Coturnix japonica: one gene and its partner. The protein of the gene in region 2 interacts with the protein of the main gene of each other region in a pairwise test. Links are inferred from orthologs where the notes say so. Each region holds a gene or a part of one and is shown on either strand. Other genes may lie near its edges.

What was found.
Region 1: the proteins of ANXA11 (region 2) and PDCD6 interact in binary tests that used the Homo sapiens proteins (3 or more experiments, as listed by UniProt). The link is inferred for Coturnix japonica from reciprocal best matches to the Homo sapiens genes ANXA11 and PDCD6.

What each region holds. Positions count from the first base shown.
Region 1 is NC_029517.1:80,103,213-80,106,964, forward strand, and holds the start of PDCD6 (programmed cell death protein 6), read left to right. Parts: upstream 1-891; 5' UTR 892-960; coding exon 961-1,022; intron 1,023-2,258; coding exon 2,259-2,320; intron 2,321-3,752. UniProt on the Homo sapiens protein: Calcium sensor that plays a key role in processes such as endoplasmic reticulum (ER)-Golgi vesicular transport, endosomal biogenesis or membrane repair.
Region 2 is NC_029521.1:4,212,942-4,216,097, reverse strand, and holds part of ANXA11 (annexin A11), read left to right. Parts: intron 1-241; coding exon 242-337; intron 338-2,700; coding exon 2,701-2,759; intron 2,760-3,156. UniProt on the Homo sapiens protein: Binds specifically to calcyclin in a calcium-dependent manner. Required for midbody formation and completion of the terminal phase of cytokinesis.

The DNA.
Region 1 (3,752 bases), on a different chromosome or scaffold from region 2:
CAGTGCTGGGTGTATATTGCTGTCCTAGAGTCATCGTCCCATGGCACAGCATTGGGTGTACATTAATGTCCCCATTCCACTCCCACGTTAAACTTGGTGTATGTAATTACTTGGGTGTAAAATAGTTTATGGCAAAAACCTTAATTATGGAGCCAGCTTCCTGGCCACGGGACTGTAGAGGGAATAAATAAATAGCTAAAAACAGCATGAGGTACAATATGTCTTTGTGGATTCACTAAAAAGAGCACACGAATCATCACTTGTTCAATAAAATGCTGGACCATGGCCATGTTCTGCTGTGTGTGCTGTGTTTTGGCTGAGGGGGGGGATGAACTTTTACATAGTGAAAGGTCTGGAGCACAGGCCTTATGAGGGGCGGCTGAGGGAGCTGGGATTGTTCAGCCTGGAGAAGAGGAGGCTCAGGGGAGACATTATTGCTCTCTATAACTTCCTGAAGGGAGGTTGTGATGAGGAGGGGCTTGGCCTCTTCTGCCAGGCAACAAACAGGACCCGAGTAAATGGCCGCAAGTTGTACCAGATGAGGTTTAGATTGGATATAAGAAGGAGCTTTATCTCTCAGACAGTGGTCAGACACTGGAATGGCTGCATAGGGAGGTGGTGGAGTCACCATCCCTGTCAGTGTTCGAGAGGCATCTGGATGAGGAGCTACGAGATATGGTTTAGTGCTTTGCTGTAGGTATGGTAATGGGAGGGCGGCTGGACTAGGTGATCCTGTAGGTCCTTTCCAACCTTATGACTCTATGTAAAAGCTGATTTTACATAGACAGTCCAGGGAAGCCGCGGGTTCCAGGCCGGGCCCGCACGGCCTTAGGAAGCACCGGCTTCTTGTCGCCATGGTGCTTCCCCGCTTGGCGCTGCCTGCTGACATCACCCCCGCCCCGCTCGCCCCGCCCCAGGAAGCGGAAGGAGAGTCGCGCTGTCGGAGCTGGGGCGGCCGTGATGGCGGCGCCTCACGGGATGGGGCTGCCCGACCCCTCCTTCCTGTGGAACGTCTTCCAGAGGTGAGGCCGCGGGGGCTCGGGGCTGCCCGCACAGCTGGCACGGGGAGCGATCGGGCCTTGGGAGGAGGCTGGATGCCTCTAATGGGCCCCGGGCATCGGCCGAGCTCTGCGGCTGTGTCCCCGCAGCGGGAATCTAAGGGAGAGCTGCAAGGAGCGCTTGGGGAGGCGGGGTAGGGCAAGGAGGTGACCTGAAGGCGTCTGCCAAATGGGAATCGGGGAGGTGCCCCATCCCTGGAGGTGCTCAAGGCCAGGTTGGATGGGGCCCTGGGCAGCTGAGCTGCTGGGGACAGCCCTGCACATGGCACAGGGTGGGGATGGGTGGGCTCTGAGGGCCCTTCCAACACAAACCGTGCGAGGTTTGGATCAGCAATGAGTAACAGTAACTGCCTGGCAGAACACAGCAGTGACTCAGAGAGGTGACATTTGTCCACCACCCTTGTGTAAAAGCACTTTATCTGGGAACTTGACGGAAGTATGTGTGGGGATTGCTTATTGATATGGATAAGGCTGCTACAGTTGGTGTAGTTCAGATAGTTTCCAAAGAAGCTTTCAGCCATAAGCATCGAGGAGCTTTAGAGAAATCTGGCAGGCACAGAATGAAAGTCCTTCAGCGGGTAAATAACTGGCTGAAAGGGAAATTCTGTCACACTGATTGATGCAGCAGTTCTGGGATCTTCATTCAATATGTTCAAGAGCATCTGTGGGAACAGAGGGTGAATGATCAGCTGAAGCACGAGCTTCAGCTTCTGGTTACATGGACTTAATGTTTGGACTTTTATAAGGCATCTGTTCCTTTTTCTACTAACAAAGCACAAACGTGCACTCCAGGTGTCATGGCGGATTCCTGCAGTGTGAAGGCTTGGCAGGAGCACCTTGCTGTACTGAGTGACCGGGCTGTGTCACCTTCACGGTTGGATCCTGATTGCTGTATCACGGGTAGATGAATTCCAGAGTAGATACCCGATGGCTGTGAGGAGGATTCATGTCGTTTTGTATATCAAATGAATGTGCTCCGTGCTGACTGATGGTCAGGAGCAAGATAAGCAGGTTGTAATTCTGCTAGGATTACATGGCAGGGTTTGGTAGCGGGGCCTGGGGTGGCTCTGTGAGCAAAGCCCTGTGCTGCCCCACGCCCGTGACTGATTTATTTGGTAGGGACGGAAATGCTGAGGGTTGTAGCTAAATTCTGTTCACTTCAGCACCTCAAGGCACGCCACTTCTTCTCCCCTCCTCCAGGGTTGATAAAGACAGGAGTGGAGTGATCTCAGACACGGAGCTTCAGCAGGCACTGTCCAATGGTGAGTCTGTGAAGGGGGAAGGAGGCCCCTTGTGAACTTCGTGCTACATTCCATGCCAGTCTGGCTACTCGACTCTTCTGGTCTTGACGTTTTACTCCTTGCCCACCTCTGCTGCACCTTCCCTTTTGAACCAGAGCAAAGGTCAGATGTTTACAGCCAGCCTTTTTCCTGCATGTAAGAGCCCTTCATTCAGTACAGTGCAGGAAGTGAAGGTGCTAATTTCTTATTTGTAAATGAGGCAATTTGTTCTCCACTTTCTTTTCCTAACCAAGTAGAAAGCTGTACTTCAGACCTCGCTTGACTCGTAACTGGGGCGTGGTCAAATAGCTCTGGGTAGCCAAATGAAAACTGAACGCTTCTTTCCAGTCGTCACATTTTCCTTCCTGCTGGTCATTCGGGATGGTGGAGTTGTTTTTTTTTTCTAGAATACATCCTCTGTGGGTGGTTGTGTGTCACAGTCCAATGTGGGCCAAAAGAACGTAACGTGTTTCTTTCGAGAACACTAAGCAAGTATTCACTGCTCTCACTGTATATTGAAGCTCAATGCGTTCTTGAAGATCAGCTTTTCAACGTGCCAAATTTATGGCTGTAGTAGTACATGTATCTGGGAAGGATGGGAGACCACACAACAGAGTTGTTTGCACAGTAAAATACTGTGCTGCCTTCTTGCCTTTTGTTTCTTTTTTCTCTCCTGTGCTGACATGCTGAGGTATTTGTTGTGTCAGGGGAGGAGGAGGTAGGCTGCTGCTGGCTACCTGCAAGCTGAAATCAGTACAGTTCTTCAGCACCAGAGTTGCTGTGGTTTCTCTGTATGGAATCTGTATTAGTCTGTTGTCATGTCTTTCTTTGACATGAAATAATATAACTCTGCTCTTTAGAACTCTGGAGTGATTCCAACCCAGTAAAAACTGGCCCAAAGTGAGGAGCCTTTCCACATTCAGTAGCAGCTGCTGACAGAAGCCCAAAGCTCCTCTACACACGGCTGTGCTCAGGCCTGCCCAAGCACTAACATTTCTTGGCCTGAAAACACACTCATTTAAACAATGCTTTCAATTCAGCATGGGGAGGGGATTTATACAAAACTCAGCTTGAAATCGCATTGTGTGCCTCTTGTGATGTTAAGAACCTGTTCTTTTCAGTGTCCTGGAGTAACCCATCTGTAGAATAGGGAGCAGTCAGATTTTTAGTTTTATTAATGAGAAATGGGCAAAAGACTCCTGACAACCATTCTTGGTTCTTCTAAGGCTTTGGTTCTCGGCTGGATTTTAGTTTATGTTTTGGGGTGTTTTTTTATGCAGACTGAAAAATGTTGGGTTTCTGTGCAACATTATTAGAGCATTGGTCAGAAGTCATCAAGACCACAGTTACTTCAAAGCAGCTTTGTTAAATGAGGAGTAGCTTGCTTAGCTCTGAATTCACTGTTTCTAGTTCT
Region 2 (3,156 bases):
CTTACAGCGATTTCTTCCTGTAGCCCTTCAGAAATAAGCACAGGACTAGACAAGCTGGGAGGAGCATGGTGATACTTAAATGGAGCAGAATGGTTCAAATCATCTTTAAAATTTCAGGACTTCTGTGAATCTGCTGCATTACCAAGTTGAGAAGTGCTTTCAAAATAAAGCAATACACATCATGCACCACTGCCATTTCTTTGTGAGACTGACTCCTGAATCCTTTCTTTCCTGTTGACAGTTTTCAGTGAGTACCAGAGGATGTGTAACCGGGATATAGAGAAAAGCATCTGTCGTGAAATGTCTGGAGACCTGGAGAAAGGCATGCTGGCAGTAGGTACGTGCCATATGTGTAAAGCAGGCCTCTTAATTCACCTCAAAATGGCTGATGAGGCTTTAGCTTCAGGCAAGCTGCTTGATTTAAATCTTGCATGCTAAACTTTGAATGCTAAAATGGGGAGAGAGAATTATTAACTTGGCTTGGATTTAAGAAGTGATTATATGTTCTACCCACCACTGTGAGAGTGAGAATAGGATACTTGGGACAGCTTTGGAAATAAAGCGAAAGGCATTGAAATTGTAAACCTCTAACTAGTTTTTATTAGAGGGAGAACTTAAATTTGATTCCAGAGAGGTTATTTTTTTCCCCCTATTTCCTTCAAATCTTAGTTCAGAAGTGTTTCTGGTACTTGGGAAGGGCCAAGTTCTACCTCAGATTTACCCTTGATACTTTTTAAGATAGCGGTCACTGGTTTCCACTAAGAGCTATGAGAGGCCCTTGAGTCCTTGTGCAGTGGTTCTGTTTAGGGTGGTTTATTCTAAACAGAGTCACATGGCTCTTTCTCTTTAGTTTTGTCTTCGTCTCTTAGGTGAAGTTACTTCTTTACATTTCCATTTCTATTTCCATGTACTGTTTTGAACTTACTGTGGTATCTAGCTGTGCTTCTCAAAGTGTTCTTTTTTGATGTTTTATATTATGGTAGTGTCAGGGAAAGGGATGTACCTAGGAGAAAATGAGAAACAAATGAACTACAGCAACAAAACACAGCTTCTTCAGTTCCTGTTGAAATCAATAGGAATGTTTATCACTGGGGGAGTAAGATAGGAGAAAACATTTGGCTCAACTGCAGTGAAGCTGTGCATTTTTTTCTCATGGAAGTTTCTAACGTAATATTGCAAAATAAAGATGATTTTGTGGGACTTCACTCCTTCACTTGTCTTATGCATGTCTGAACTATATAGCCATTATGCAGTCAATAGTCTACTTGATAAAGTTGCCCCTTTTCTAATGGTGAGGGTGTTTTCTATGACCCAGGCTGAGCCTAGCTCTGTTGTTGTAGTACATTAGCAGACCCTTTTCCAGCATTCTGAATCTTTCACCTCAACAAGTATTCATGTTAGCAAGCCAAACTTGAAGTATAGTTTGTTTGCAGAACACTAGCTCAGTAAAGAAACTTAACTATAGGAGTTTATAAGTTGTTTGGCCTCATGGAGCTTTGCAGTCACATGGCAGATCTTTATGTGGATGAAAACTGAGCATTGGGACTGTAACTTTCAAATAAATCAGTAACCTTTAGAGGATAAACTTGCATTAATATCCACTGAATGAACTTCAGTTTTGTTTAGTGATGTGTGTATGTGTGTGTATATATAGATGTATATATACATGTGTATGTGTATCTAGCATCATTTGTTCTTTTAACCTTGTTTTCCACAAAAAAAAATCAAGGTTTTTCTAATTGAAAATGTTCAATTTTGCTTTTCTTAAAGCTTTCTGGATTGTAAACTGGTAATTTACCCTGACATCTTCAAACATCTTAGTGTGTGATTGTGTTGTTTTAATGACAATCAAGAAACGTGCATTTCATCTGTCATTTGTTCCTGAGATGTTGTACATATCTAACAACTGCGTGTTTTAAACTGTTCTCTCTCATCTACATTTTGCTGTTCAGAAAATACTTTTTTCCTATATAGAATGTATTTTGCTGTGAAATGTATATTTAGGTTTATCCCTTTGGTTCTGTCTTGCTCTGATACTTTTTGTGCTGTCATATACAAGCTGGTTATGGTTTGCTGTCCATGCAATACGCCACAGATTGCATGGCTGTTAACCCAACATAGGATCAGTTTAGAGACTGTAGTTTTAATGAGTGATGAACAGATAAATATCAAAGTCATTTGATTTGGCTCTTCTTCTCTAAGAGTTCTAATGAACTCTGCTAATGAAACATGAAAATTGGTCATTGTTAATAAGCATATCAAGGATTTTTCAAGAATCCATGTGAAATTCGTGGCTAAAGAAATGCATAACTGGCTTTGAATAAATGGTGCAGTTCCTGTTATAGATGTGTTCCTATCTTAGAGCAACTCATCCCAACTTAGAGTGTGTCTTGAATTTGCCATGCCTTCTAGATGCATGGCCTAGGATTTCTCAAATTTAGGAAGAACTAATGACACTTAATTCTGTTCTTCGAGCCTCCTATTGCCTCTCCATACCCTACTTCCTTTTCAGAAGCAACAGTCTTGTTGTTAGAGGTAAAAGGTACAAAATTGTTTCACTGACTAACTGAAGGGATGGAAACTGCATCATACCATCTCTATGTTTAGGTAATTAAAGCATGGGACTGAGCTTGAAAAACAGTCATGAGATTATGTTTGGGTAGGAGTGTGTGACTTCAGTAATACTGTTTCTTCTTGCAGTTAAATGCCTCAAGAACACACCAGCATTCTTTGCAGAGAGGCTGAGGAATGCTATGAAGGTAGGTGCCTGTGGCAAGATGCATAAATTCAGCATGTGTTTGTAAATGACTGTACTGTTCATTGAAATGAATACTTCAGCCACCCTGGAAAGAATTAATGATACTAATTAAAAGATAACTAATGAGCTGGAGGTATTTTTTCAGTGAACAGAAGACATGTAAGATTTTGTATTATGGAAGGCTAGAAAAATCTATCTCATTTGATCTGCTTGGCAAAATGTATATAACCATACCACAAATTTCTTGTTTTATTATGAGGATTTCTTCCCTCAGTGAAACAACTGATCTGCTTAAGACTTGTTCATAACTTTAAGTAAGGAGGGCTAACTGAAATAAGTGTACTACCAGTACATTTAATGTATTAGTGCATAGGCTAAATTGCTACTAAGCTTATTGA